Linked DNA regions of Lepisosteus oculatus. Each later gene encodes a partner of the first gene's protein in a complex. Links are inferred from orthologs where the notes say so. Each region holds a gene or a part of one and is shown in the gene's direction. Other genes may lie near its edges. The genes, in order: med16, med13a, mediator of RNA polymerase II transcription subunit 13-like and ccnc.

Region 1 (7,821 bases):
TCTGCTGGAGCTCCTCATGAAGTAGCTTTTTGCTTTGTCTGCTAGTCTTTCAGTGTTGAATAAGTTACATCGTGGCAAGAACACTAGTCTAAATCCTTCTTTTCACCATATTATAAACACAAGACTCAACGTCTCTGTAATTTTCCAGCAATGGAAATCGTAAAACCTATTATCTGACTAATGCCTCCCTACTTCTTCAAAGGAAAAAGAGGGAAAATAAACAAGCCACAAACCTTTCATGTAACACACTAGATGGCACCTGACAGCCTGATCAGACAACAATCCCTTTCTGTGCTGTGGTGCTGGAATATCATAGCAGACTGCTGAGCTCTGTCAACACTTTTGCTCCATGCACAAAACCGAAAGACTGTTCATCTGCTCTGTAAAAGTTAGCTGGAGGCTTTTGTAACAATATAGCTTGGGCACAAACGCAACTATATCATCCTATAATACCAACAGAATCACTGACAATGCAACTGTATGTTTAATTGTAAGACAAACCGCTTCAAAGCTTTTCGCTGCACTGCTCAACAGCAGGAGTGATGTGCAGTCCATTTAATCCCCTGCTTTAACTTCTGAAGCTACTGATGATAGCAATACTGGATCACAGGACATCATATTTACTGTAGGTTTTAAAATTATAGAACAGGCCTGTGTAATTAAACAGTCTCAGTACTTTTATTTTGCACCGTTTTTACCTTACTATACCTAATAATGTTAAAACATCTGCTCCAGGTGTTCCACTAAAAACAGGTAAGGGATCTAATTTATATTGCCTGTCTGGGACTTCACCCAAAGACTGTAAGTATAATCCATATTTAGCGCAATTAAAAAATAAGAATGCCTAAAGTTCTTCACATACTGTACAAAGTTTGCTCAAAACACTTCTAAAATTTTTTTTTTACTGGGTAAAAATTACATGCATTGTTTGGGGCTGCTCTTTGACAAGTTATTTGGTTTTCTACCACAAAGCAGAAAAGGTAATAACTGAAGCTTCATCAATTATTCTGATTGAGTTCAGGAATTTGGTTAGTCTTTAAATCAAAACAAAACAGAAATCAGATTCCTACACAGTGCGTTCATTCACAGCTCAACACTATAACAATTTATTACCTTATGCACACATTGGATTGTGCTCAAAGCATTTGTGCTAAAAGCTTATTCAATCAATCTATACAATTCTACCATGCACCGACCTTCATATTTAATTCCCCAACATAAAGTAACTGCATGTGGGTTAGTGGTTCATGCATCCGTGAATGCTTGATTTTGTACTGCACACTGACAGCTCAGCATTGATCCCACTAATTTTGAAGCTGGTGTGAACAGGGCCATGAACCACAGAGTAGATCACTTTAAGATCTAACGGAGGTGTACAACTATTTCAAATGACTCTCCTGCCAGTATGAAAATAGTGGAGGTACAAGAGCAGGACAATACAGCCACTATAGTCATCTTCAGAGCAGGTTCACCATGGAAGAGTGTTCAGTTTGCACACAAACTGACAGACAGTGAAAGGTATCCCTTCATTCCCTTCCAGAAACCCCCAGCACAGTCCCTGTAAACCACCAGAGAATTTCATCAGACCCCTGCTTGAAAATCTACCACACTAAATCAGATTAGATTAATATTATTTATTAATGTGCACGTATTGGAGGCATCTATCAGACGTTTGCTGAACACTAGTAATCAAAGTGAAACAGCCGAGTTAAAACTGGAGATGAGAGTCCAGATATACCGAACATCCTGTGAGGTTTTTAAACATATAGCAATGAATGACCCTTTCTCCCTAGCCTCACCTGTACGCATACTACCTGGCCGCATGAATCTGTGTTTAATAAACTTTCATAAGATATCACTGATAACTACAGATTAAGAGTTTTTCTTAAACAATGAATTAATGAATGAAGGAGCCTGTATGTTAAACTGCCATCTTAGAGCAGCAGACAGGGTGTGCAGGTTTTTTTAAAATCCATTTCCATACACTGGTCTCTTCTGTCAGTCATGTGGAACTCTTGGTGTATGCTGCTTTAGAAAAAAGAACCGAGACCTTTCATAATGGAATAATTGTACTAAATATAAAAACAGGAAGATATTGATCAAAATATAGCTTAGTGTGCAACTGTCAATTTGCTTCACTCCTTTCTAAATTTATAAACCTAAGGTCATCTCTGAAAAAAGTTTTTTTTTTTAAATATCAGCAATTCTCCTTGTAGTCTCTGCTTTTCCCCACCACATAAAAACCCGAGAGCAGTTCTATTACATTTCACGGCAATTTAATATTGTCCCCAGTCCTTGCTATAGAAAAGTGCTTCATATTTATTTGGTGTAGGTTTTATATTAAGCCTTAGGTTATGTCATAATACAGGATGAAAGGAGCAGCCTAAAGGCTTTGAAAATCAGAAATGTTCTACTTAAACTGCTGCAGATCACTTGGGAACATATATAATTGTAAAACTTTCTTGGTTTGCTTTGAGCCCTTGACTTATCATTTACTTGCAGTGGCATTTTACATAATACCCCATTTCCTAGGCAAAAGGAAGTTTGCTTAGATATACCCACCCTCCAAGAAAAAAAAAGTTGATTCTCCTTTTATATTCTTGTCAGAGATTGCAATGTCAACAGGGAGGTGAATCACAAATGCACCAGCTTATTTCAGTGCTCATTCCTGTTACATTTCTTCTTCTATTCAACCAAGCCTGGGGGGAATTCTAATGGCTTTCAGACAGGGGTGTCCAATTCCTGAGAACCTGCCTGGCATATTTAGGGGTTTGTTCCACTGAGGCACTCAGTTACACAGCTGGCTAAGACGTGGGATGACCCAGTTTGAGCCTACTGCAACCCAGGCAGGTGCTTTCTGCTTGATGATACTGCGACAAGCCCCGTATCTTTTAGCCTTTGCGAGAAGTTTGGTTTGTGAAAACTGCAGAGCCAGATGAGGGCCTGTCAAGCTTGGTGGATTTGATCCTACTGCCGCCCTACGTCAGACTTTCAAAGCAGGCATCTCATACACTTACAATCAAGCTATTATGCTGGTGCCGAGGCATGTTAAGAATGTGTGACCACTTGTGTTTACCAATTAGTGTGTATCATTGCAACTGCAGGCATGTCCAAAAGTCCTGGAAAGGAACTATTGTACATTAAAAAAAACCATCACCACTGAAACCATGCCACGTTAGATTAAGATGGTCGCGGTTTCAGCCTTTTTTTAGAAAATAATCAAATCTGCTAGGAGGCTAAGAGAAACGTGCACAGGCCATTCTCATTCCAACCTCTGCAAACGGCATGAGCCCAGAGCAAGACTCAAAAGGAGTTTGTGGCAAACGTAAAAACGGGCCTCGATTTTTCACCATCTCCCAGACCACGGGGGACTCCCTTGTAAAAAGCGGCCGAGGCCTCAACTACAGGTTTCGACAGGCGAAACGGCGTCAGGGGGTGGCGGGGCTACAGCTGCGTTTGTACTTGAGCAATGGAACTGGGAGTTCCGGCATGCAAACCCGGGTGCCTGAGCCTTACCTTCAAGAGGACAAAGAACTCGAAGATCCTTCGGAAAGACGGGGGGAAAAGCCTGGCGTAGGTGACTGCCATTTTAAAGAAGAGGGCGTGAAACAGACGGTCGCGGACATTGATAAGCGGGTTCTGATTGATATTGGGGTTCCGTATTCGGTTGGCCCCGCCATTGTTATTTATGGGGTTGTTGTTGTTGTTGACGTTGCCCTGGTTGTCAGACATGGTCGCGGAGCGGTCGGCGACAAATTCCAAGTTGAAACTGAAGCTGGAGGCGAAAGATCCCGGAAGATTTGAAAACCGCCCCCCTCGCTCGGGCTGCGTGCGTTTTCTTTTTCCCCCCCTGTACCACTCGCACGGACGAGGCCGACGACGACGACGACGCCGCCGCCAGGCTGCTCAAATAAACAAGCCCTGGCTTTCAGCGGGATATAGTCCACTCGCCCCCTTCCGACACCATTTCTCGGACCGCCGATGAACGAAACGAAAAAAAAAAATCACGCCGACCGAGTAGGGGTGCCGTAATAGGGGACGTTTCCCAAGATACAAAAACAAAAATGCGAAGAAAAATGTCTTTCACTCCCAGCCTACTATAAAAGCCTGTCCCAGTGGCCTAAGGAGTAACCATATGTCCACATTCTTTACTCAATCATCGCAACCCCACACAGCCGCGGAACTCCCCCGCATCTTTGGGGTATCCAGCCTCTACTGAAAAACAACTGAAAACAGCCCATATGACAGTGTCCTTATGCGTTTTGCTTTAAACTGCTATATTTCGAAAGTACTGATGTTTCCGTGCTGCTGTACTGACGAAGGCAACGACAGCGGTGTCGCAGGCTCACTAGTGCCCCGGCTCTCGGACTAGGCTCCCGGCTTCCCTCTCTGTTGCCGACGTCGGAGGCGCCGCGGTTCCGTCGCTGGCTCAGGGTTTTTCTGTTTCTGCTTGTTGTTTTCCTTGCCCTGTTGCTGTTGCTGCCATTTTCTATACTCTGGTTTCTCTCTGGCTACCACGGAAAAAAAACCACACATACACATATAGCCCTAAGAGGAAACGCGCTGTACGTGGAGCAGAAAGGGGGACAGTGGCCGCTAGAGGTGGGATGGCTACATTTAAATCAGTCTGTTCGTTTAGGATTTGAGCGATTTACTGTGCTGTTTAAGCGGCCGTTTTCACGATCGCCGGATTAAACACAAAATCCTAACTGAGCGCTATGTGTTGCTGCCGTTAATAATAATAATAATACACGAAAAGCTGAACTCGTGTTGAGCGTCGTAATAAAAAAAAGGGGATATCCTGTAGCTGATCGTTGTGTTGAACACTTGTTTTTTTATGGTTAAAACGTCACGTTTGTTCCAATGGACCTGAAAACCCCGCTGAAGGACGACTTTATTTAGTTCAGAAAATTGTTTACGTTTCCTAATTATTCGTATTTTGCAAATCTTGTTCAGTTTTCCAACAATACCCGCAAGCGCTTTATGAAAGATCGGGCCCTTTAAAACCACGACAATAACAGTTGACGCGAGAAGGGCTTTGCCCATCGTAGTCGCCTTGGTATGTGCCTCAAATTCCCCACCTTGAGAAACAAAACAAAGTGAAAACGGAGCTTTCGTTGCGTTTAAGGTATTTATGCTAAAAGATAGCCGTTCTTGATTATTACAACAAGAAAGGAATACGACGTCCACGTAGATTTTAAAGCTTGCCTGTTTGTAATAATAACAGGCATATTGATGGACTCCTCACTTAATGAGAGTGGGGTCCTTCCGTATTTTTGGTAAAGCTGCTTCTCAAATTGTAAAGATGTGTTTTTAAGGATAAATTAAACCTTATGTTGTGTGGGAGCAATGTTGTGTCTTGTTAGTTTTGTATTTTTTTACTTTATAAAACAAGAGAGATTTGTGGTTATTGGTTCTTTTATCTTCCTTTTGAGAGACATCTAGAACCGACGGCGTGTGGGCATGATTAACCGGTAGCTAATACTGTAGTTCTTGATTTAGTTAGTGTATACAACTTGTTATATTTTCATAAAGTTTGGTGAATGCATATGTTTTGAGCATTTACGTGACGTGAATTAGGGTTGTTTTTTAAGATTATGCATAAATGTAAGATGGAATACTCAAATTCACACATTGACGGGTTATACTGAGCTAGATTTTGCAACAGTAAACGTTGATTAATATTCGTAATGATAAGCTCTAATGATCAAAACTCTAAGCGCTTTCAGTGATGTCTGTTTAATCATCTCTGTTATTGGCATGTTTCTACTTTAGGCTGGAAGTGTGTAAAATTGTTTCAAGAAGAAAACCTTGACACCGCAGTGAAGGACAACCCCATGAGCGAAGGATGGATATTGCCTACGTGTGTGAGTGGGAGAAGAGGCCTAAAAGCAATCACTGCCCCTCTATCCCTCTTGTGTGCGCCTGGTCCTGCAGAAACCTCCTCGCCTTCACTACTGACCTCAAAAATGAGGAAGAAGAAAAGGGTAAGCAGGCTAGCCCTGTCAGAAATATAACCGATTCGCCCTGAAGCCAACCTAAACTGTACAGAATTGCAGGTCTTGCTTTCTCATCACTTCTTAATCGACTGTGAGACCTGGATCTTGTCCTCTGCTTGTGTTGAACTGTTTTGTTAAGTAGATCTGTGTTTTGCATGTTTTTCACACTGTGTTCAAAGGCCTCGGCAAAACTCTTACTTCATGACAGCATCTCCTACGGTCTTTGTTTAAGCCGTGGGTTTGTGAGACAGCTGAGAAAGCCGTTTCTGCCCCTGTGCAGAGTAAGTTAAAGAGATCTGTTTTTCAGACCTGACCCACATGATTCACATCATTGACTCCGAGCATCCATGGGACGTTTATTCGATCAATTCGGGACACACTGAGGTCATTTCCTGTCTGGAATGGGATCAGTCAGGTAAGTCTGTAGGTTGCAGCCCTAAAAAAGTAGCTGATGCAGGTGGGCTAAATTGAAAATGATTTGCTCATTACGTCAAGATTTAAAATGTCCCTGGAAAACTCTCACATGTGGCTTAGGAGTTGCTAAGATGTGTTGTCAGACAGAAGGTTTGTTACTGATGTCAAATGTCATGATTACGTCTTGTCTGCAAAAAACAAAAGTCTACATTACAGTTGATATGATAACACACTTTAATCTTTTAACCAAAACGTACAAAGTTTGCCTTAATTGCAGATGAGTGGATCAGATGATCTTTGAGGTGTCTCTTATTATGGGATTGTTTTGTGATGGTAGCCGAGTGTAATGAGCGAGCTGTGTCTATGTGGCTGCGGCTGTGCAGGCTCCCGGTTGTTGTCGGCTGATGGGGACGGGCAGATCAAGTGCTGGGCGATGACAGAACACCTGGTGAACAGCTGGGAGAGCACGCTGGGTAGCGCCGTGGAGGGCGACCCCATTGTAGCCCTGTCTTGGCTGCACAACGGAGTCAAGCTGGCACTGCACGTGGAGAAGGTAAGATGGCAGCTTAATTCTCCCATTCCTGTGTATTGTACTTGAATTACTGAAAAATCAAAATCTAAACCATTGTATTCTAAATCATTGTTTCCTTTGTGGTGAGACTACACGGACGCAGGTGGAAATCCTCAGGAAATACAAAGATGCCAGCCAGGAACGGGCACACACATGTTTTAAATGAAGTCTGAAGCAGGTTAGGCGATACGATCTGGTCATCAGATGATCATGTAAAACAATTCTCAGATGATGCTGGAGTCCAATCCTGGGCCTTGCCGTGGTTGCCGCGCTGAGAACCTCTTTGGCGTAGGAGACAGTGTAGCATCTCGCTGAGGAAGGGAGGCCGATGCCAGGGGCTGCTTCGCTGTGGATATCAATGCAGATTCCAAAGTTTTATTTTCGTGGACCGGATGACTAAACCACCTCGCTTCCCACAGTCGGGCTCCACGAACTTCGGGGAGAAGTTCTCCCGGGTGAAGTTCTCCCCCTCGCTGACGCTGTTCGGCGGGAAGCCCATGGAGGGCTGGATGGCGGTGACGGTGAGCGGCCTGGTGACGGTGTCGCTGCTCAAGCCCAACGGCGCGCTGCTGACCGCCAGCGAGAGCCTGTGCCGGCTGCGGGGCCGCGTGGCGCTGGCCGACATCGCCTTCACGGGCGGGGGCAACATCGTGGTGGCGGCCACGGACGGCAGCAGCTCGGCGCCGGTCCAGTTCTACAAGGTGTGCGTGAGCGTGGTGAACGAGAAGTGCCGCATCGACACCGAGCTGCTGCCCTCCCTCTTCATGCGCTGCACCACCGACCCCGCGCGCAAGGACAAGTACCCTGCCGTCACCCACCTGAAGTTCCTGACCAGGG
Region 2 (7,794 bases), on another chromosome or scaffold:
TAGGAATTGCTAGATACTTCGTTTCTTGGAATTGCCAATAACTGATCAATCATTAGTCAGCTGGTTTACATCTATCATGCGTGTCAAAAGGTTTGATGACCCTAGTGTGAACAGTCCTCTGAAACTAGCACTGTCAGAGCCACCCATGTCTTGTTCATATTGTAAGTATTAATAGGAGGAGTTGATGGTGCTCTCACAGCTCTTTCTCAAATGTGCACAAATCCTGGGGAGTCTCTGCTTCACGTGAAAGCAAGTATATGTTTGGGTACATCGAGCCTACTGCTTGAGAAATCCTGATCACAGCAGGCTAACCCGATCTGGCAACATCTGGAATATAAGACTACACCTGCAGCCCCTGCAGGTGTGTACTGGTTGACCCATGTGGAAGCACCATGGTTGAGAAAATCTTTGTTTCACACCTGGCATGATTACAACAGTAAATATCTGATAAACCCCTCACGAGTTGTGTAAGCAGTACTCACGAGTTGTGTAAGCGGAAAACACTACAAATCCAGCTGCCTGTCAAATGCAAAGCCACCAGTACATTGAACACACTCAGTCATCAGGATTTTCAGAAATTGGATTTATTGTGTCTCCACTGCGTTTGAGGGTTGGTTGCCAAGTGGCATCATCTGTCAGACAGCAGCATGGAGTAGTGGATAAGGCCCTGCGTGCTAGGCTACAGGTGCGCGGGTTCAAATCCTGGAGGAAACATAGCTGCTGTACTCTTGAGCAATGTACTTTAGTCCGATTGCACCAGTACATGCCCTGCAGTATAAGTGGTTCTCCAGGTCATCATTGTACATGAAAATTTAATCTCAGCTGACTGACTTGTTTAGATCAAGTATTAAATTACAAGAATAAGATAAGGTGCGGGCTTGAATAGAATAGGAAATGTTCCTAAAGGGACCCTCAGCTGTTAGTTCATGGTGCCTACTGCATACCTCTTCCATTTGTTTTTGAGAAGCCTTGTCTGGCACTTTAAAATGCGCAATGCTTTTTTATGTTCTCTACCTCTGTTCCTCTCACCATCTGTCCTTCTTTTGCTCTCTTGCTTTCTCCTTTGTAGGTGTTTCTAATCTATGAGCACATGTAGTGATAACAGAACCATCCTGCTGCTTGCACGATCCACGCTGCTTATGTACGTACAGGATTCGAAATGTATACATACTGTACATACGTTACAATCCAAATAGTTCCGTGTTGTCTTTTTCCTGAAAGAAGCCTGAGCTCTGAAGTTAAACATCTCTGTCACTTTTATTTTGCAAACCACTCAGAACATTTGTTTGAAACATCGAAGCTGGTTTATGATTTTTTTTAGACATTTTCTATAGTCCTGTAATATCAGAGAAGTGAAATGTGGTGATCGAGGTGAAAACTGCAATGAGAGATCTTTCGAGTATTGTGACAGTTTGAGTGTTGATTCATCAGAATTCGTAACTGCAGATGTTGGGAAGCACACCTCAGAAATATCACAAACTGACATCAGCCATGATCTTTGTTATTGAAATTAACAAGTTGTAGATTTTGCAAGAGGAGGACAATAGCAAAGCCATGTCCTTTTTAATGCAGTTTATCTAGTCGTAAAAAAAAAATCTCTCATCTCATTTTTACATCTTCTCTGTGGTGTTGCACAATACAGATCTATTTTATGAGGGGAACACATTTAGAGAACGCCTAAAAGGGTTCTACAAAATTCTTTACACTTTTATAGCGCTTTTCTGGACACTCCACTCAAAGTGCTTTACAGGTAATGGGGATCCCCTCCACCACCACCAGTGTGCAGCCCCCACCTGGATGATGCAACAGCAGCCATAGTGCGCCAGAAAGCTCCCCACACACCAGCTATCAGTGGGGAGGAGAGCAGAGTGATGCAGCCAGTTCATAGACAAAAACACATTTATCCTGCTAACTTTTAAAATTCACTTAGAAGAATCAGTTTCTAATCAAGATTATTGATGATGTTAAACATGGGATGACATGCTATTTCCTGCATGTGCATAACCAGCTGTCCTCTACATTACAAAAGTTACAAACGAGAGGAGGCTATTTGGCCCATCAATGCTATGTGGTAGTTATAGCTAATTTTACCGGGGATCTCATCCAGGTATTTCTTAAAAGAAGCCAGTATTCCTGCTTCAGCAACTTAATTGAGTAGCTTGTTCCGTACTCCCACACCCCTTAGTGTAAAGAGAAGAGCCTCCTGTGCTCATATTTAAACGGACGTCCATGTAACTTCCTGATGTGATCTCTAATAAGAACATAAAAACTAAATATCTGAGCAATCCGGTGAAGTTGATATATGAATGTGATAACTCAAATGGAAATTTCAGAAAACACGCTGTATATACAACACTTTTCATTGGGAACAAATATGTGCTGCATATAGACAAAGTTAGATCAGGGAGAGGTGCTGGTGTGTGGCTCCAATGGAAGTTAAATTAAGGAGAAATAAAAAGAGCGAAAAACACACTGTTCTAACTGTGAAGCCCTTTAGAGGTGTGTGAAAGCTCCACACTTGAAATGTTGTGTATTTCATCTTTTCTACTGTTCAGAATTATGGAATTAACCTTGACCTGTTCCTATATGGTGTGGAGCTGTCTATATACAGTAATGTTGATGACCTTGACCTGTTGCAAGGAATAACAATGAACAGGCTGAAGAAGAGCCTCGTTCTGTGCTCTGTGTCGTCAATGACCTGATGTATGTGATGGCCTCAGTATTAACTCTACAAAGTGATTCGCAACAGGACTATTATACGCAAAAACAATTCAACACTGAAATCACAACAGTAGTCAATACTCAACTCTTCCACTCTGCTGAGCACTAAACCGCTTGAAAAACCTAGTAATGTAGCCTCAGCAGAAATCACTGCTTTCTGGAACATAGGGTCATAAGCGTATTACCTTGCATACAATGAGTATAGGTGTGATTTTACTATATTTTACTAAGGTTTTATAGATTAATTCAAACAATAATACACTACAATGACAAAGCAACATGGAACATACACAAACACAGATGTACCTAGTAGCTCGGCCTTGTACATAGTGTCAAGCTAGGTGCGAGCTGTCATAAAGAAAACTAATACACAAAACGACTGCCGATTCCAAGACAGTGTTGCTCTCCGCTCATTTAAGAATAAAACAAATACTGCATCTTTTTGTACAATATTTTGCAGTATTTCCTTTGTGAGCCGATACAAGGTCACGTACATTCTTCTTCGTTCGGGTGGTGCTGTGAAAACTAGCCAAGCCGAACATTTATTTTGACGTTTCTTGTGTTTTTCAACTTGACCCGCAGAAATGGTCTGGCTGCCTGCTGCACTTCTCGTTAATGAATTACATTCTATAACCCCGGTAACCTATCAAGCATGGCATTGCATGATAACTTACTTAATCACAGATAATGGGAAATACACGTGGAACAAAAAAAAAAAGATGGCAGCCAGACTACGAGCGTTAAGAACAGCACCATCAGCTCGCGAGCCTGGTGGGGCTGCTCAGAGTATTGTTTCACAGCCAGGATACAGACACCAAACCGGTTCTCAGGCCTGGCTTGTGGTTAAACAGGGTGAACACCAGCTTCTTTGCGAAATTCCCTGCTTCTCTATTGATCAGCCGAAGCTGAATTACCTGCAGACCTCGCTGACCTGGACTTCCAGCAGCACAGACAGGAGACAATCAGCTTATCTCGGCGGCGTCTTGTAAGGTTATTGTTCGGAATAAGAATGGCAGCACTACAGCTACACCGTCAACAACAGCACCAATAAATAATGAATTGGGGTGTCAAGCAGCAGTCTTCGAAGCCAGGGTCTACTGGATTTCATTCTGTTTCAAGTTCTTTGCATTTATTTTCTCCCGTGGGCATGTTCACAGGTTTTTTTTTTACAGTCATTTACAGCAGATGATTTAAACACTGCTCTCGAGGCAAGAAGCAACATCTCAGAAACACTCTGAATCCTGGAGAGAGTTGTGTGCGTTTGGTTAGTCAATAATGTTTGGCCCCGACAGGTCTCTGGGACCCCAGGGCGAACTGGAAACCAGATTTCTTGTATACAGGTTCTGGTACCAGACACATAATGAAACACAGTAACCTGAGGTAGAGCCATGCTTCGGTTTTTCCCCGGGAAGGGGGGGTGTAAAAAAAGTAGTTTATTGCAGTCCATTTGATGTTAGGAAGAGCCTAGTATTTCATCACCACAACTGAAATAAACAAAAGCAACCAAATGCATTATAACAACAACAACAACAACAATCAAAATAATAATAATTATTATTATGATTATGATTATTATTAGTTCAAGTAGATGGTTGTGTCAGCATGCATAGGTTGCAAAGGAACGAGTAAACGTTTACTCCATGCTGAAAAGAGAAGAAAAGAAGGCTCCCGAAGAAGACTGCACAGCCGAAACGTTGTGTTTCTTTTTTCTCTTTTCAGCATTCTTCTTCTTCTTATTATTATTATCATTATTGGCGTCTCACCCCTGACGCCTGTCAGAGCCCCCCCCCCTCCTAGCAGCTGCGAATGAACCGATTTTTATTTTACTACCAAAAACAACAATAACACACACACACACGCACGCACACGGGGTACCCAGGTATATAAATAACTGCGGCAGTGCGCCGTCGGCGCGCTAGGGGGCGCAGCGCCCGGGACGGCGAGCTGAGGGGGTCCAGACCGGTGGCTCAGCAGCGCCTAGCGGCCGGGCCCGTCACTTCCAGTCCTCTTCCAGCCCGCATGACCACGAGCCAGCCAATCGGCGCCGGGAGGCAGAGTTGTCCCTGTGGCCGCCATTAAAGAAAGGAATCCGTGAATTCAAATGGAAACCAGCAGGAACAGAGACCGAAATAATGGTTAAAACGACCGAAAAAATATAGTCCTCCACCAGCCTTCGATCGTCTTTTACAAGATGTTTTTCATTTTTAAACCGAATCCGGCGACGATGGAGGAATAGAGGGGCGATTTTTTTTTTAACCCAGACCGTTTTAACCAAAGGGGGAGGGGGAGAGTTGGGTTTTTTTTTTTGTTTTAAGAGCGTTTTCGTGCTTTTTTTTTCCCCGTTTTTTTTTTTTAAAAAAAAGAAAACGACCGAGCCTCACTCAAGGAGCGTCTCTTTTTTTTTTTATATCAGGCGGACGATGCGGAGGTGGCGGTGCTGTTTTTAATTTACGGCGGATTATTTTTGGGAAGGGGGAGAGAGAGAGAGAGTGCTGACGGAGGAGAGAATCTAAATGAGCTGTTGAATTACATTCCCCCGGCCGATTGTTTAAAACCATCCTCGGCGTGAGGTGTTTTTTAACGGGGGGTTTTTTTTTTTAAATAAAAAAAAAATCCACGCGCGTACAAAAAAAAAAACCCCAACAAAAAAAAAAAGAAGAAAAATTGTTCTTTCTTTCTTGGGAACTTGAAACGATGGAGTGGTCGATCTCGATGTGAAAGGATGAGTTCTTGCTTTGTACCAAACGGAGCGAGCCTGGAAGACTGCCATTCCAACCTATTCTGTCTGGTAAGAGATTTAAAACTAAAAGCAGCCATTTTTAACTAGCTGAGGGGAGAGAAAAAAAGAGCACAGTAGCGGGGAGCGCAGGCTTGGGGGCCCTGTCGAGCACTGCAATCCAAACACCGCTGATCAATCCCTCTGTTGCATTTGCATACTGCCGAAGTTTAAGGCCGGATTAAAACGGCATTTTGCGGGGGGCTGCGCGGCGTGGCGCGGTGTCGGCTCTCCCTCCGGGCCGTGGATGTGGTCTCGGCTGGCCGCCGGTGCAGATGAGGTTTGAGCGCTGCCGGCCAAAACATTTGATCACGGCTGTCTAGTAAACAGGCAGGTTTACTCAGGTCGTGCAAAGTTTCCTCTCCCCTATCTCTTCTGTCTCTGTGGCGTTTAAATCCCCCCCTCCCCTCCAACACACACACTCATACACACTCCAGTTATTTTCCTCCCCTGGCTTGGTTTTTATTTTCTTTTCCCCTCCCAAAAAGAAATGTGTTTCCGTGCGTTTGATCCGAGACCTTTCTGGTGCGCCGGTCCTGTATTTAGGAGTTACGAAGGTCCAAACTCTTCTGGGCGAAGTGTTTTGGTCGCGGCCGGGCCGTTTTGTGGAAATTAAATGCGCTGGGTCTCGTCGGGGGGCTTATCCACCCCCCCCATCAACTGGAGGGGAAGCTCGCCGGCCCGGTGGGGTTGTTTTGCGGGGTGCTGCGTCGGGAGATTATTTCTGATTTTTAGCCGTTAGTTTTGGTTTCATTTCTATTGGCAGGGAGGCTTGTTCGTTGCCGAGCAGACTTGTCATTTTTCGTTGTTTACAGCCTTCCCGGGGGTGTATAACTGGCATCTCCGGGTTGAGGGTGCCCTCGGCCCCTGATGCCCTATATTGGCCTGGAGGCTGTGAACTTGGGCTCGTTAGGGCACGACAACGACAACAACAACGGGGGGTTGAAGTTGTTTTAAAAAACAATTATGGAAGTAGCTGCGTACAGGTCTTTTAACTTTTTTTTTTTTTGCTCTCTTCCGTGCGCATACCTGGGTTTGTGGTCCGAGTCGAGCAGTGTGGGACGAGTTACGCAACTCGTCTTGCTGCTGTGGCAATGCATGGTCCTGTCCCAGATAAGACATTTACACCGCTTCATTCTGGGGGCTTGGGGGTCACGCCTCGGGTACGGATACGGGCTTTTAGAGACGTTTGGAGGCTTTTGAGTTTCGGTTTCTAGTTTATTATGTAAGAGGGTTTTGTTTTGTTTTTTTTGTGTGTGGCGTTTTCCGTATTCCAAGATGCCCAAAGCCGACGAGATGGGGGCGATCTAAGTGTCAGAAAGTGCAAGGCAGGAAAGTTTTTTTTTTTGTTGAAGTGCCTCTGGGAACTGTTGTTTTTCCTCGATCCCGCTTGATAGCTCATTAAACTGCATGGTTGAGATTCTCGGCTGTCCCCTTGGACGTTGCTTCGTGGTGGCCCCCCGCCGAGGGGTGGCTTTTTCCTCCTCACATGCCCTGCGTGTGATTGTGGCCCGTGCAGTTCTCGTGTGCGAAGATCACGCGTGACAGCGGGAGCCAAAAGCGAAGGAGCTTTTTTTTTTTCCTAAAAAAAAAAAAATCAGATCTAATTAGGAGGCATTTTCAATCAGGAGAGTGGTAAGGGATTGAGCCGGTACCAAATGTGCGTCTGAAGTATGAGTGATGGAGTGGTTTGGGGGTGCCAGTGGGGGTGTATGTGTTGTAAATGCGTGGAAGGGGTGTTGGATATTGATTATCCTCCCCCCCCCCCACACACACACACACATACCGGTGGTGTCCTGATTCAGCACAGGGGGAGGAGGGAAAAAAAAAGTTTCAGTTCGGGGGAGGAGGAGGTGACGTGCCAAGATATTGAACCGCAGCTGAAGGGAGGAAAAAAAAAAATGTCACAATAAAATAGACGCCGGGGCAGGTTTACTCGATATGAATCACTGGGCGAGATGTGTGTGGCGTCTGCCGTCGCGATGAGGCTGGAGGAAGAGCCGCGGTCGAGTCGTCGGCAATTGGCCCGCCGGTGGGTAATGGCCTGTCCCATTGAGCCCATCTACTCTGAAGGGCGTCCGTCGTCGCACACGCAAGCGGGACGGCTCGGAAAATTGCAGGAGCCGGGGAAGACATTTTAATGGGAGCGGGAGGCCGGCCGTGACAGCGCTGTTTACAGCTGTCAGGAGCCGTGAGTCACCCCGGCGCTGGCGGTAGCGGTAGCGGTTTGGACCAGCGCTTTCACCGGAGAAGCCGTACGATTTTTTTTTTCTTCTTCTTGTGAATTTTCAAGTCCT
Region 3 (8,165 bases), on another chromosome or scaffold:
AACAAGCCTCCAGTGCATCTACAAAGATGAAATAACTCATTTTCCTCAAAAGCAGCATGAAATAAATTACATAAAAGTAATTAACACGTATAGTATATAATGTGTTTACAATAATTTAATCAACAAATCTCTGATGAATCAAAAGGCATTCCAAACGCTATATGTAATATACTGTATACTGTCCCTCAAAGTACAAAAACTATACTGTACAGTATGTCACTATTTAACTTTGCAAAGGTTAGTAATGCGTTACTCGCAGATGTAAGGTGCATCTTTTAATTCCTAGGATGCTTCCCACAGTTCTTCACACATTGGAAAGGACCAGCTCATCTTGCACATGGAGCTGCTATTACATACCTGGTGCCTCACTGCACAGCAGACTGGGATAGACAGGAGGGCAATTGCTTCGCCAGTGGGATTGCTGATAGAAAAGCAAGATTGTGCAAGCCCAAAGGACATCTGGGTTAGCACACCTACACTTACAAATACTTCTATGGGATTTTTATTCACAAAGTGAAGGCTTTGGTTTAATGTCTTGAACAAAAGGCAGGCTACAGCACAGTGTCTCCCTAAGGACGTTTAGGTCCAGGAAGACTACAGGTTCATCAACTGCAGCAAACTGGTTTCATTGGAGCTCTCCCATCTCAGTACTGAGCAGGCTGAGCTTTGCTTGTGAGAGCCAAGGTCAGAGTCGAAGGCAGTAACGCTAATCGCTCTGCTGTACAACTGCACAACAGCCAGTGGGCTTCCTACTGACAGTAGATGGCTCCATCTTATTCACGCCTGCTACAACACCTGTTAGCGTAAAAATGAAGTGCTGTCCCAAATAAAAGAGAGTCTCTGTGTGCCTGAGTAACCTAGGTCATACTTCTGAATGTAGTCATGTGTGCAATGTTTTATCATGAACACACCATTGGTGCCTTTGCAGCCCCCCTTCTCTTCCTCTGTGTGTGTTTGCAGTTGCATGGTGCAGAGGTTAGTGTTGCTGACTTACAGTGGAGGGGCCCTGGGTTCAGTTCCTGGGGGTGCTGTCTGCATGTAGTCTGGGTTTTCTCTGGGTGCTGCGGTTTCCTCCCACAGTCTAAAGGCATATTTGTAGGTTAATTGGCTTCTGGGAAAACTGGCCCTGGTGTTTGTGTCTGTCTGTCCTACAGTGGATGGGTGTCCTGTACAGGGTGTACTTGCTGGGATAGGGTCAGGCTCCTCTACGACCCTGTATTGGATAAAGTAGTTAGATAATACGTGGGTGGCTTCTTCAAATACAGGTTTCAAATACACTCCTTTTTCTTGCACCTGTAGAAAAATCAGGCAATTCTGCTTACGATTAAGCTTGGTCTAATTCTTTCACCTTTAGTTCCTTGTAGTGAATGTAGCATGCTTTGAAATCAATATTTACATATTCAGGATTAATCTCATCCCTAGGTTTTCAGAGACTCTAGGAACAAATGACATTTTCTTCATGAATTATTTCCACAACAAACAAGCAGGTAAGCTTCACTTAGGATGCCAAGTGTAATTCAAAGACTTTCATTAAAAATGAAGGAGCAGTTCTAGTTATTTTAAAGAGGCTTATTATTAACAATCAAATAAATGCCTGAAACCCAAATTATCCTTACTTTTTTGCGACAACTTTTCTCTGAGAACAGATTTAGAAGCAAGGCTTTGCATAACCTCACTTTTTTTATATACACAGGTTTCATCATTCTCATTGTCTAACTCTTTCATAGTTGTGTACTGTACTGTATATGTGCCCAGTGGAAAATGGTCAGAAACTAGTAGTGAAGAGAAGGAAGCCTTTATTTTCATTTTGTGTGACAGGGGAATGTTGTTGTTGTTTTGATTAGTCATGGGAGAGCCACCCTCAGTCTTCAGTTTTAGATATTCAAGTAACTAGACAAGGATCACAAAGCAGTAGGGTGTCATGACTATTTTTACACCCGTGCCAGTGACTCATATCACTGTACGTTCCTGGTCTAATGGCAGCAGGCAGTGCAATACGCCACAATAGCTGCCTTCAGAAACAGATACTGTAGGTCTTAAGTAGGCGAGACGTGTGTCAGCATGTCCCACCGCAGCCACCCAGACTAACCTGGTCAGCTCCCCCTCGGATCCGCTATTCCTAGCGCTGGGTCACAGAGCTCCGGACAGAAAGAGAACTCGCACTTCTGGGTCCTAGAACAAATCTTTCATTTTTTTTTCCCTAGACCTCAAATAAAACGGGGGCAAGGAACACAAATATGGGAATCTATCCGGCGCGGTACCTGCAGACACCGTGGTAAACCCCTGAAGCGGCTTAATTACACGTTGCAGGGCCAGAGCAGGCTGCCGGATCGGCAGTTAATCCCCCGCCTTCGGGTTCAGTCGTGTTCCTGTGAGTGGGAAGAGCCTGCAAGCGTTAAAACAAAGACGAGTTCTTAGTAAGCATGCAGGGCTCTTATTTTTCTAAATGCGTCTTAAAAACAGATACTGTATCTCTGCAGTTAAGCGGGGTATTTGATCAATTGTATACATATAAATCAGTGCAGTGCTTTACAGGTTTTTTTTTGTATTTATTAATGATTCTGTATAAGTCATCTTATGTTTCAAAATGAAAATGGATCGTAATTAAAACGGTCTTAAAATGACGTCTTGATACATTGAAAACTTTAAGCAGTGTTTTCTCACAAAGTGTTTAGTGTTGGTGTTCAGCTTTAAAGGGAAGTTTTAAGAAAAAGACAGGACAGCCACAACTGCAGTATGAGTCCACTGCGTGTATAAATTCACATGGAGAGATGTATAGGGCTATTCTTAGTGGGACGATAGTGTAGTTATCGTGTAAAGGTGTGTACTATAATCAATTAAAATCACAGACTGCTAGTCCGTTCTAGGAAACCCTTCACTCTAAGTCTGTTGGGGTGCAAAATGAAGTTCGACATAAAATAGGTGCATTGACTTGCTGCTCTCTTTTAAAGCCTTTTCAACATCATTAGGATTCTACATAATGATGCATAAAGATCTAAGTTTGGTTCAAACTTGTAGCTCCTTATTGAAAATATTATTTAAAAAAAAAAAGGTGGGGTGTGGGAGGCGGTCGCTTTAGTTTGAAGCGCTGGACAGCCGCACCAGAATGAAATCAAATTTTAAATAAAAAAACACGGAAAACGTGCGGGACAGCGCCTCTAGCGGCGCGCGACGGAGCCGAGAGTGAGTGTGTGTGTGCGCGCGCGCGAGAGCGAGCCTCGGCCGCGGTCACGTGAACCCCCCCCTCCCTCCCGTGTTGAATGGGAAGGCGAGTCCGTTGCCGGCCGCCGCCATTACATCGCTATGCGCGGTGGGCCGGCGGAGTGTGAGAGAGGCTGCGAGCGCAGGAAGGCAGGCAGTCCGACACTCAACTCCGCTCGGCAATGTAACAGTAAAGACACCGAGACACAAACAGTGCCTGGGAAGGGAGACATAGCGACATTAAATTAGCAACTCTCCGGGTTTTTTTTTTTACCCCGAAACCTTTTACCCACCCTTCATGATTTGAAATTATTTTTTTTTAAATCTCCCGTTCTTTTTGTCGAGGTTGGTTTTCGAGGATTAAGGCACCGCGACACCGCCGTTTCCAGTGGTTTTTCTTCCCTTAGTGCGATCGGTGCTAGCCGGGGGTGTTGAATACAGCGCCAAAAGCGAAATTACAGTATCGGCATCGTTGCTGGAGTGTCATCGTTCCCTCCGAGGCGCCGATCACCATCATCATCATTATTCGTGTAAAGAATACGCGTTTCTCTTTTTTTTCCCTGAAAACAAATCCCCGTTTCAGCTGCTGGGGGAGGACGTTTCGTCATTATTAAACAGAAAAAGGAGAAAAAAAAGGGGGGGGGGGGAGAGGATTTTTTTAACTCTCGTTTCGTCTCGTTTTCTGCATTTCACCCCCCCCAACACCGATGATGGACGGGAAGTATACTTTTTCTTGGATGTGGCGTGAAACATGTATACAGACATAAGTCGAAACCGAAAATTAAACCGTTCGGCACCGAGACCCGTCGCTGTTTTTCCTCTCCTATAAACAAAACGGAAGAGACAACCTTCGCTAGGTCTGTGTGTGTTAGTATGCAGCTGTAGCCTGTTATAGCAAAGTGGAAACAGAAGAAAACAGCCCCTCTTTTGCCCGTAGTGTGTACTACACTCGCAGGGCATGTTGGTGGTAAGAAATACTATAAATAACTATTACAATTCGCAAAAACTATCACAACGGGGGCATTATGTTGCGAGCCATGCGATCTCTATTCCTGCGTGTGTGTTTTTAAAATCTCTCGTTACTGTTCCGTTTCCTGCGCTCGTCAGATTTTCCCGTTCAACAAGGATCTTCAGGACCTGACCGAAGCCTTTTTCTTTTTCTTTTTTCCGCCAGAAAGAAATATATATATATACAGAGAGAGAGAGATATTTCGGTCGCTTCCAGCTGGATGTTTATTTATTTCGCTCCCATCACCTCTCACCAATCCGGGATATCATCGCGCACCTTTTGTATGTGACTCCGAGCGTTTTTGTCAGTGCCCTTCCTTCTGCTGTTTGTGGTTGAAACAAAATAATAAACGCTGTTCAAAGGACGGAGTGGTTTGTGTGTGAAGTTATGGAAACAGTGTTTCGCTTTTGTTATTGATCAGTTTTTTTTTCCTCTATTTTCTCCGGCAGTTTTTTTGCCACCACCACCCCCCTTCCCAGCCCCTAATAAAGACAAGGAGGTTGAGCGTGTATGGATTACACTGTTATTTAATCAATACGGTAACAACAACGAAGGCTTGTTTGGATGTACAGTGAGACGCTTCTCCCCCCTCCTCCTGCTTGGATTAACGAAACGAGGATTTGTCTTTTTTTTTTTTTTGTGTGTGTGGGGTTGCGTTCGGAATCGGTTCGGACCCGCTGACCTGGAATCCTTCGGATCGGCACCGATCGGCCAGCACGTTTTTGGATTTACAAAATACGATCCGCTTGGAGTGACGCCTGGAAACAGTGGGGGGAAAGACAGCATTTAACTGGGGTTTCACCTCAACCCGGTTCGGATTCACTACGACAGCGTGGGGGGGTGGTGGTGGTGGTGGTGGTGGTGGGGGGGTGGATATTATTTAATCGATATATTTTCGTTGGGGGGGGTGGGGTGGGGGGGTAATAATTTCAAATCTCGCCTCTGCTCTGGTTGTGAACCCAGCGTGTGTTGGAGACGGCGTGGATAGTTCTGTTCGTCTGGTGGAAAGGGAACCGAAGAGGCTCGGTCTCGGTACCGACCCAGGATTCCGACATGCCCAGCACTGACGACCCGGTCCGTGGACGATTATGACTGCAGCAGCGAACTGGGTGGCTAACGGGGCGAGCCTTGAAGACTGTCACTCCAACCTCTTCTCTCTGGTACAGTAACACTACGTTAACCGTTTAACGAAAACGCTGTGCACATTACAGTACACCCAGGGAGCCTGCTCCTGTCGCCATCCGGATGGGGGCACACTTTGGGACAGATCTGTACTTTTGGTACAAAGGTGAACCCGTCGCTGGTGCTGTGATTAGAGAATCATTAGCTAACACAGGGCAGTGAACCGAGGATATCGGCGCTCCAGATTGGTCTCAATAGGCCACACTCACAAAGCATTTTACACGCTGTCATTTAATTCATTCCGTCAAGGCAAGGGAGTGCTGCACCATGAAAGTGTTTTAAGAACTCCTTGCTGTTCCCAAATTGATTTTCATCTGATTGATCCTTTAAAAAGATCTCGCACAAATGGGTGGATATATCACTTAACGTATCCAGTCAACATTTGTGCACATGTACACTTTTCTATTTCGCTGCATTCGCTTCGATATAAATACACATTGTTCAGGGAAAACATCCATCCCCACAAGTATAGGAAAATAGAAATGATGTAGTGTTAGGGTCTGTAAAGTAACTTGAAAAAGTTAATATTATTGTGTTAGCAAAAGCTCCGACTTCAAAAGCTCTTTCGACTGTTGGTCTTGAGTGAACATTTGACAGTTTTCACCTCAGGAGGAATACCAAAAGCTAGTGGTATTCTATGTCAGTTGGTGATGACCTTGACACTAAATTGCAGTTTTACTGTAGTAAAGTGATGAGTTTAGAAATTGTGCATCATTGTATTGGTCCTTCTAGGATACTAGGATAACATTCGTGATGTTTACTTAAGATTGATATATAAAGATCAAATATGAATTCTTACCATTTCTATTTAAAACATTTAAGGCACCTTTCCTTTGGCACATCAGTGCACTGACTTCTGTGCATTAAATGTTTTGGTTTGTAGCCTGTGGCCGACTACCTTATTGTAAATATTGTTCTCTGTCACTTTAGGAGACACCCAACAGGGAACTTGACACAGACTGAACTTAGTCACAGTAATGGAGAAGAGCCTTTATTGTGACACTGGCTTAGGAATAATGTGAAAATAATTGAGGAGACAATGGCAGCAGATTTCTTAAGCTTTGTAACCTTGAGGAAAGGAAGAGTGCATGCCTTTAGTTAAAAATAATTTCTGTTGTTATATTGTCAGACATTTTTTTATTTTAGTTTTATTTATTTTCCGTTTAGCTTCGAACACTGTAGATCGACAGGCTTTTACAATGATGATGAAACACATAGTCCAAGGAACACATGTAAAGATCGACATAAAAATGGGTGAAATTAATCACTAGGAATGCAAGGGGAGTAATAATTTTCTACTTCTGCAACCTTCTGACTGAATTTAGTTATTAATCGAGTCTAAGAGGGATGGTTTGTTTTGGAAATTGCTATAATTTCACCAAGCATGCTTCATGTGCGTATGAAATATGTTGTGTCTTGGCTTTCAGCTTTTCTGAAAGACAATATTAGCCTTGTTGTGTTGTCAAGAGGAGCAAGGATGTCATTACTCGACAAGCTGGATCAAATCTGCTCTTCAGGTAGTACAATTGTGCAATACGCAGGTTTCTAGTGGAGCACACACGAAAGTAATGATTAGAAGGGATCAGTGTACTGAACAGCGGATTGTAGTGTTAAATTCTCCAATTAAAACTGAATACCTCGAAAAGATCAAAGGCTGCATAGTGATGCAGCTTTGCGTAAAGAGATCAGTATGCTTCAAAAAAGAAAACTCTTTGTTTCGGAGAGTTTCAGATGCTGAAGTTAATGCAGCATCTAATACAGCGAGCACAATTGTGGATAGACTCTTCCGCGTTAACATTCATAATATCCTACATCCTAGAATATAAATATGGTTGAACAAACTCAAAGATAAAAAACTGTTACTCAGAGTGTAAGTTTTCATTCAAATGTCTGGTGCATTAGACTTGTGCATTACAATAAGAACTTCTGGGGGGGAATTTTGAAAGACTTAGTGTTGGCAGCAAACACCATTAATGAGCAAGAATAATGCTACTCATGATAATGATTATAATGATAATAGTAACAAATTAGCATCTACCATAATGACTAACAACAGCCATGACAATGATAGTATGATAATAAGAACAGTTTCTACAGCAGCTATAGTACAATACCCGAAGTATATCGTACCGAACCAACGGGCTGGCTTTCTTTCACTGAGGGTTCGTATGTGGTTTGGTCACCTGGAGCTGAGGGGCACTCACTGGCAGACTGATTCTGTACTCCACACAGCACCTGGGGGGGATTCTGGCTGGAAAGCATGTCTAACTGAGTTCCAGCAGTGCCCAGTTTTGTGAGGGTTTCCCTGTTCTGGATTTCCAAGCCATGCTCACTAGGATGTGTGGCTGAGTTTGCTGACCTCAATGGCAAGGCGAGATAAGACCCGCCCTTTCTCCACTGATTCACATGGCAAGAAAAGGGTGAGACGCTGCTAGTTTGAGTCCAAATGAGAGAACAGGGCTTGGAAGCCACAGGCAGGTGGCATTGATACTGCCGTCACCATAGACTTAGTAGGCAGAAGTGACAAGGAGCTGTTAACATCCCATTAGAAAAGTAGTGACAATTTTCAACAGTGCTTAAGCATTGAAATCGCATGATTGAGTGAGAACTTGATTAGATTTTGTTCACTTTTCCCTTGTTATAATTTAAGCAAACAAGTGCTGGGGTTTCTAGCATTGTCACACATCATCTCACCACTCAGAATTTACAAACCAGTAGTAACGGGTATCGTCACAAGCAGGACAAAAATGTGTACAGTAAACCCAAGGCAAAG
Region 4 (8,248 bases), on another chromosome or scaffold:
AGCCAATGGGTTTTCGAGACAGCGAACTTGCCGGATCCTCTGGGCTTCTTCTCGTCGCTCTTGACTTGATTGAGCCGTCCTACCTGGCTATGTGGGGTCTCCGGCTGGATGAGGCCGTCCTCCGGCCTGTTGCCTCCGCCCTGAGGGTCGTGGAGGAACGGGAGTAGCTGGCAGAGCGGTGCCGCGCCCCCCTGGCGCGAGGGGGAGAGGGGCTGGACACTCGCACCTGGTAGGAAGAGGAGCTGCTGTCCTCAAAATGGCGCCGGTATGAAGACATCCTCTCTGGGCTGTGGCTCATGTTGTCAGCTCGCCTTCTTTTTCCCCTCTTGTGCTGCTTCAGGACACTGACACCTTCCACCCTGTACTGCACAGCCAGACGAAGGCCCTCCTTTTTATACTTGTGCCTGGGCCTGATGCACTCGTGAGGAATCACCTCTGGAATTTCCAGCCTAAGTACAACAAGAAGGCTGACCTTCCCTATGAATATTTGTCAAAATCATGTGAAGAGTTTAATATCTTAAAAATAGAAGGTTTAGCCAATTAGGCAGCGCTGATCTAATGCTTTTGGATGTGACTGAAGTTTAATTGCATGCAAAGCAGGGCCAGAAGCAAACAGATGAATTCATTACATTAGCGTACAGTGAAATGTGAGGCATTCTTTCCCTGAAGATTTGACATATATGGTCATTAGTGGGCTAGCATTTATGACAGAAAAGGGAAAAGAAAACTGGCGCAGTAAAAGCAAAATTAACTGTTGTAGCAAAAAAATAAATCAGAGCCTGGGATGTCTGGGATTTCTGCATGGAATGATTAAAAGACGTGAGCGGAGACAATTGCAATCTGCCCAGACCTTCTTCTCCATCAGTGGGTTGGGCATCTACGAAGGACTATCCTACAATTGTTTTTTATTTAATTATCATTCTGCAGAGTGGATTAAACAGCTGTCATCACTTTCCATATGTGTAATATTTGGCACAGTAACATTGGAAATCTCTGTATAATTAGAATGATAGCACCAAGAATCTGCTTATCCGTTATGTATTTGACTATTTCTTGCGTCGAAATCATATCATAGTAAAGCTTGAACACTGATAAGTGAAAGACACACATGTGTTCTTACTATCATTCACAGTGCACATTTAATTATCTCAAGACATACAGAAGATGTCTGCAAATGTCTATAAAAGTATTAGCTCTTTTCTTCATCATGTATAATCAGCAAATCATTCAAAACATTATCGAAGCAAAGTAAAAAATAAACATTTTCACGGATAAAAAAACTAAATAGCAACATATTGTATATAATTAAATACATACAGTAATAGCAGTATGCTGTAGGGCATATCAAAGCATACATACAGTATATACATCTATACACATCTGCACATCAAAAGACTGAACCTTATGGAAAACCTAAAAAGACCCTCTGAAGAGAGCAAGCAGCTATGGAAAGTATATCTGGATGAATGTAAGAAAGCATACAAAAGGAGGTCCAGTTAATTTATAGAGATGCTGGTAGACTGTTGATCTGAATTTCAGCTTTGGCTTCTCAAAAACAAGGTCAGCTGGGTAGCTTGTTACACATTCGCATGACTTTTGAAAAGTGTGTCTTGTTGTCAGACATCTTCTTCTTTTTAATTTTTACTTGAGTCCCATTAGAATGAGTTGGTCAAATCCTCAAGGTAAAGATTGCCAGGACCTCTTGTGACCTGTTTTATTTAGCACTAAAGATATTTAGTTCCTCTAAGCTGTCATTGTGTGACATTCCTTCAAGATCAGTAATCTAGACACTATTCCCAGTCCCAAGCTGCAAAGTAATTTTTGTGAGGTGTCCACCAAAGTTGTACGTGGTATTCCAAACAAGATATGTACAGATTTTACAAAAATTCCCTTGATTTAAAATTTACCATCTTAAATCTGACTAACATTTTTTTTCTATTTTTAGCTCAACCTGAGCAGCAAAATGATGAGATTGGTTTTTTTTCATTCAGTAGATTCTTTATGTTATGTGTCCCTCTTCTTTTGTTTTTACTTCAGGTGTATATATTTACGAACTGCATGAAGTAATCCATCTGCCCTCTAATGAAATACCCGAAGGAGTGAAAGCATTTTAGAATTTAATCTGCTGCTTGTAAAGTTACTGCGACTCCTCCTGTTTTGAGTTAGAGGGAAAGCTCTTTTGCCTTTCCTGTAATAGGTCTGGCTGACTTGCCAAGACAATATCTTTCTCTATGCTGTATGTATGTTTTTCACATAGTCAAATAATTATTTATTTGAAACTTGGCAACCTTGAGCATTCACACTGCTTGTTGCTTCTACAATAAAAGATTAATTTTCTGTGCTGTGTAAGACATTCCTCCAAATCCTCAAACATTTTCAAAATCAACCTACCATTTGGTTGATATAACTCTTATAAACATTTGGTTTGTTATATTACGTTAAAAGCACAATCAAGTGTAATACAACACCCTACAATCTAGGTGTGAAAGGGTGGAGAGGCTTATAAAGACACAATAAGACCTAGTGAAACTCCAGGAAACCTTGAAAAAGACAAGTACATTTATGCACTGGGCATGGTAACGTGGTCCTATAGTGTGGTCAGCTTCACTTCCTTTCAGTTCCCAATTAACAGACTATTCATTTTAAAAGAATAAAAAAACGTATCTGTTCATTTTTAAGTTCGAGTTTTGAAGTAATATTTAAACCATTTTAAGTGTGGCCCTATTGTTGCTGGAAATAGACGTTGAATATTAACTGCTTATTGCTCCCAGGGAGATCTACCACAACTCCTACTAGCAGCACAGTGTCAGGAGAGGACGAGCAGTCCCTGTGATTGTTTTAAGCACTCAAGAGATTCTTTCCTCTTATGTCAGCTCTTATACCCATGTGGAAGGTGCAAAGGGCATTGTCTCCCCATAATGTGAATGAATCCGAAATGAGTTTAAACACCAACCTGCAACATCACACAATGTTTTTTCTCTGGTAATCGACGCTCAAAGATTTTGTGAGAATATGATTGTATTGAGGGGCCAGACCTTACAACAGATCCCTATTTTGTTTTTTACAGTGATAAGATTGCTTATTTCTTAATGCTTACGCGTCACATGTGACATATTGTGTCACATGCTAATGAACATGATCTCAACAGAGATGCTATTAAGAGAAATATGATTTGTTAAAAAAGAAAAATATATTTTTCCATATATCAGTACACCATAAAGTAATTTTGAATGTTTATATCTTCTGTATGCTAAACCCAGAACAGTGCTAGATGAACAGTAAACAGATAAATATTTCTCTCTTTAAATTATAATTTGAAATTAGACTTTTCTAATTTAAAGGGCAAGTTTTTTTTAAATATGTCTGGCTGTGTAGCAATTATCCCAGCGTGCAGCAACATTAATCATGCTGATGTTAACGATCACTTACACATATTTAATATGTAGACAAGACATACAGTACAGGTGAAGGTTGTACCCACTAGGAGTACTGAAGAAGTGTGCACCTGATGAGTGCTGAAGCAACTGACAGGTGTTGACAAATCCAATCAGGACTGGGTTCATCTCAACCAACCAGTCAGCCAACATTCATTCATTGATTCATTCATTGATTCATTCATTGATTCAATCAATCAATCAACCAACCAACCAACAAATCAATCAATCAATTTAAGTTTTATATGGTGCCTTTTACTCAAAGTATCTCAAGACACTTGACATATATGTCAGATCTGACATATATAAAGGGTCACACCCTGTGAACCACACTTGTGGCATTGTGAGAGGAATGTGCAAGAACAGCAGATCTCAAGGCTGTGATCTGGAACTCACAGATTTCCACTTCTTTGGTCTCTTAAAGAAGTATCTGTTCAGCAGATGAATTAAACCTAAAGTGGTAGGTTTAACTCTTTTCTCCAGCAGATTCAAGGATTTTCTATCTACTATATGTGTTATAATGGGACACATGCACAGACAGGTTTGGATATTATGTTTACAACATTTTCTGCTGTTTATGCATACATACCTCGGGAACTCTTGCCTTATTTGTTGAAACACCCTCATAGGAATAAATGAATGAATGAATGGAATCATGAAGGACTGCTGGCTGCTATATTTGATTCTGAACCAGGGCACCTTTTTATGAGGAGGGTTTCTCCCTAAATTCTCATGGGTTTCACCAGGTGTTCTGATCTCCTCTAACAGTCCAGGGACATTTCCAGATTAACGGGCATGAGGTGAGATTGTACATAACTATACACAACGATGGACTGACACTTTGTCCGTGGTGTAGCCCCATATTGTACTCTGTTTTTGGTGGTTTGGACTCCAGCTCACCATTAACCATTCATTGTCTGAATGAAGGATGAATTAGTTACTGAAATCAGATGGAAGAGTGATATGTAATCCATCATATGTAATTATCATTGAATAATTCACCTCACAACACCCCACACAAGGTATGTAGGTGATAAGATATAGCTTTATAAAACAGAATGCTATCAATATATGTTTAAATTAATAATAATATTCTCCTATAATGTATTGTATTATCGAAGGTGGAAACAGGACTGCAGGTTTGCAAGCTCACAGAGATGTATTGTCCCTAATATTCAAGTAGTGAGTGACAGTGAGAAAAAGAGAAAATAAATTGATGCAAACAGAATTAAAATTAAACCGGAATTTTGTGGGCACTTTAGGTGTGCTCTTGAGCATGGTACTTTACTGAAATTGTTTCATTAAAATGCATAGCTTGTAAAAATAGATTTAAAGTAAGCCGTTTTGGATAAAAGTTATATCTAGATAAAATATATTTAAAATCTTGTCCAGATTTGGAAAACATATCATTTGGATAATTATACATGCAATACATACGTTTTCATGCGTCTAATAGTCGAGGAATGCAAAGGAGCTTATCACACCGGACCTATTAAGCACAGCACAATGGGTTTTAGAGTAGGAAGGTTTTACATAGTGCACACGAAGTCGGAGTGATTGTGTCGTTGCACGTTAGGAAACCAAACGCCGGAATAATTACTTCGTTATTTTTTTAGGTTATATCCAGGTTTCCTGAAAAGAGAAAAGGAAAATAGTCCAAATTTCTACCTCGTTTTTTAAGTGATGGCAGGAAACTTCTGGCAGAGCTCACATTAGTAAGTCATTTTTGATTAAACAATATTAAACTACGGCGGTCTGTTAAATCTTTCTTTCCTTGGGGCCTAAAAGACCTTCAGTTTCATTAATATTTTTTTATCTGAAACTGGTTTTAGACAAAACGTGTTAAATTCAGGGCGATTTCATGCACTTAACACTTGTTTAATATCGAGATTTTACACTCGCGTTTCCAGTCTAACTATTTATCCTATCTTGTCCGAATAAAGTGTCTGTACTAATGAATTTCGAAATAACTTAGTAATTATTAACCTTCATCAGGCACTAATTCGATATAAAAATATTAATTTTATGGCTTCAGTGTTGTACTATATTTTTCTAAATTCAAAGTAGTTTTAATGATTTTTCTCTTATCCCTTGGTCACCAGTAGTATCTGTAATATCCTATTTTCTTAAACATGCGTGTGGTTTTCTGGCATGTTCTTATATGTGTTCTGCAACTGTTCTATGTATTGTCTTCATTCCTAAGTGAAAAAAATCATTGATAGAAACCCGACAGCACAAGACACAACAGATGTGACGTCATTAAGAGATTACATTTCACGAATAATGCAGAGGCCTAAAACGATTTGTGTCGCCTCAGATAGCTACCTTTTACATACCTAGTCGGTTTCTCTGGGTTTTAGTGTTGCAGAGCACGCAATCCAAGCGTGTATTTTTTATTTGTCCTTCCACAAGGTGTATCTGGCAACCAGCTAATTGTACAGTATATGTGTGTTGTTTCAGCATTTATTTTTCTCCTTTGCACACTGCTTGCTACATTTACTACCTCCCGTCCCTCGCCTTGGATAGAGCCTACTGCAGCATCAGGGTTCCTTTTTCTATGAGTGGTTTTGATCTTTTGATTTAAAATGGCGTGCAGCATGGTGGCACAGTGGTTAGCAATGCTGCCTTGCAGCACTGAAGAGCCCTGGGTCGAGTTTCTGGGCTCCTATCTGCGTGGAGTTTGTGTAATAATTAATTGCTAACCCTTACATAGCGGACACTCCATATCTGGGCACTCCACTCAAAGTGCTTTACAGGTAATGGGGTCTCCCCTCCACCACCACCAATGTGCAGCCCCACCTGGATGATGCGACGGCAGCCATAGTGCGCCAGAATGCTCACCACACATCAGCTATCAGTGGGGAGGAGAGAAGAGTAATGAAGCCAGTTCATAGAGGGGGATTATTAGGAGGCCATGACTGGTAAGAGCCAATGGGAAATTTGGACAGGAGATGGGGGTTACACCCCTACTCTTTTCGAGAAACGCCCTGGGATTTTTAATGACCACAGAGAGTCAGTACCTCGGTTTTTACGTCTTATCTGAAGGATGGCGCCTGTTTACAGTATAGTGTCCCCGTCACTATACTGGGGCATTAGGACCCACTAACACCTCTTCCAGCAGCAACCTTAGTCTTTCCCAGGGGTCTCCCATCCAGGTACTGACCAGGCTCACACCTGCTTAGTGTAACCCTGCGTGTAACAGGGATCTCAGCCTCCCGGGCTGAGGGAGTTCTCCTTTAGCTCAGCCGGCAGGTTCCCTGTTGTGTGGCTCTGGAGACCCGGGTTCGCGCCCAGGCAGTGAGGGAAGAACGGGCAGGACAGGTGTGGCAAGGGCGGAAACCCCAGGAGCCGTCACATTAGCTTCAGTGGGCTGCCGGTTGTGAGTTGCAGGGTGATATGGCTGCTGTCTGTATGTTCTCCCTGTGTTCACATAGGTTTTCTCCCACAGTCCAAAGACATCCTGGCAGGGTAGTTGGCCCTAGCGTGAGTGTGTGTGTGTCCTGCAATGGACAGGTGTACCATCCAGGTTGTATCTCTTTGTGCCCCTTGCTTGCCAGAAGATATGTGGTTGGATTTAACATGGCATAAATGCAAAACAGTTTGCTGAGGGTTTATGTAAAGCACAAAAGTATTTATGCTCTTACCTATCCCATTGTTAAATTGCAAAGTGTTTCTTTCTCTGTATATCACACAGTGCTTTTTAGTTTAGCATAGAGGGCATGGTTTATAGAATTGTTTAAAAAGCAGGGATAAGGGTTTTGGTGATGATGCCAATAGTATGTCTCAGACGACCTTGTTAAAGTGTTCCATGAGGAACAAATGGAACAATCCAGTCCCTAAATAGATAATCTAGTTAATTTTCCTGTAAGTATTACATTGAAAGCTTATCCAGTACCACATTTTTAATGAAGAATTTGTAAATACCTATTATGAAATGAGTTGAATACTTTAGTTGAAAAATTCCAGTGTTATGACCAGTTAACCCACTAACAGTACTTGACTGTGTAAAGGTTTATTCAAATGTCCAGATCCTCAGATAGTTGAAGTCATAGGTTCTCAATCATTTTCGGGCCCTGCATGAAGCACAGGCCCGTGGTGTCAAATTCTCCTGTGTTTGTTTCTGCTGTAGACGTTCTGATACATGTTCTAATCCTGTAAATGGATTGTCATTGGTGGTTTATTTCCAAATTGGTACATAATCAAGCAGTTGAGGAAGAATTTGAAAAATATCAAACCCTTTAAAGGAAAAAAAGCTGGCTATATCAGCTGCGTCTTGTCTTTTTTATGAGCGAGACTGTTAATATACTTATGTTGCCCTTTTTGATTGCCACTTTTTTGTCATTAGTTTGCAGTGGATCCTTGACAAACAGGATTTGATGAAGGAACGCCAGAAGGACTTGAAGTTTCTGACAGAAGAAGAGTATTGGAAACTGCAGATCTTTTTTGCGAATGGTACATTCTGTCAATAAGTTGATAGATGTGAAAGGGACATGATATTGCTGTTTTTCTTTCTGCTTTAATCTTTTTCTATTTGTGCTTCAGCCTTATCCACACACATTGTATACAGCTTCAAACTTAGTAGTCGAAGTCAGTGGTTCTCAACCAGGGGTACGAGAACTCCTTGGGGTACCTCAAGATGTACCGGGGGTACCTCGGTGTCGCATCCAAAATGGCGGATGTTTATGTGGTTAGTTTTTAGTAAAAGATTTATCAGCTGGTTCTGAAATCATTCAGGTTCTAAATGATGTATGCATATTTACGATATTCCTATTTCTGTTGTTGTGAGGAGAAAGGGGGGCTGGTCTTTGTTCTGG

Evidence for each region.
Region 2: med16 (region 1) and med13a share a complex: the UniProt entries of both Homo sapiens proteins name them as parts of the mediator complex. The link is inferred for Lepisosteus oculatus from reciprocal best matches to the Homo sapiens genes MED16 and MED13.
Region 3: med16 (region 1) and mediator of RNA polymerase II transcription subunit 13-like share a complex: the UniProt entries of both Homo sapiens proteins name them as parts of the mediator complex. The link is inferred for Lepisosteus oculatus from reciprocal best matches to the Homo sapiens genes MED16 and MED13L.
Region 4: med16 (region 1) and ccnc share a complex: the UniProt entries of both Homo sapiens proteins name them as parts of the mediator complex. The link is inferred for Lepisosteus oculatus from reciprocal best matches to the Homo sapiens genes MED16 and CCNC.

The regions. Positions count from the first base shown.
Region 1 is NC_090724.1:3,457,745-3,465,565, reverse strand, and holds the start of med16 (mediator of RNA polymerase II transcription subunit 16), read left to right. Parts: upstream 1-4,578; 5' UTR 4,579-4,602; intron 4,603-4,675; exon of another isoform or gene 4,676-5,128; intron 5,129-5,243; exon of another isoform or gene 5,244-5,279; intron 5,280-5,291; exon of another isoform or gene 5,292-5,474; intron 5,475-5,775; 5' UTR 5,776-5,848; coding exon 5,849-5,987; intron 5,988-6,306; coding exon 6,307-6,414; intron 6,415-6,796; coding exon 6,797-6,966; intron 6,967-7,403; coding exon 7,404-7,821. Other genes in the region: tmem259 (membralin), read right to left, coding at 3,517-3,732. UniProt on the Homo sapiens protein: Component of the Mediator complex, a coactivator involved in the regulated transcription of nearly all RNA polymerase II-dependent genes.
Region 2 is NC_090721.1:4,737,662-4,745,455, reverse strand, and holds the start of med13a (mediator of RNA polymerase II transcription subunit 13a), read left to right. Parts: upstream 1-4,721; 5' UTR 4,722-5,443; coding exon 5,444-5,509; intron 5,510-6,694; exon of another isoform or gene 6,695-7,079; intron 7,080-7,283; exon of another isoform or gene 7,284-7,794. UniProt on the Homo sapiens protein: Component of the Mediator complex, a coactivator involved in the regulated transcription of nearly all RNA polymerase II-dependent genes.
Region 3 is NC_090717.1:10,603,784-10,611,948, forward strand, and holds the start of mediator of RNA polymerase II transcription subunit 13-like, read left to right. Parts: upstream 1-5,101; 5' UTR 5,102-5,298; coding exon 5,299-5,370; intron 5,371-8,165. UniProt on the Homo sapiens protein: Component of the Mediator complex, a coactivator involved in the regulated transcription of nearly all RNA polymerase II-dependent genes.
Region 4 is NC_090697.1:31,785,719-31,793,966, forward strand, and holds the start of ccnc (cyclin-C), read left to right. Parts: upstream 1-4,969; 5' UTR 4,970-5,117; coding exon 5,118-5,149; intron 5,150-7,779; coding exon 7,780-7,886; intron 7,887-8,248. Other genes in the region: desmin, read right to left, coding at 84-298. UniProt on the Homo sapiens protein: Component of the Mediator complex, a coactivator involved in regulated gene transcription of nearly all RNA polymerase II-dependent genes.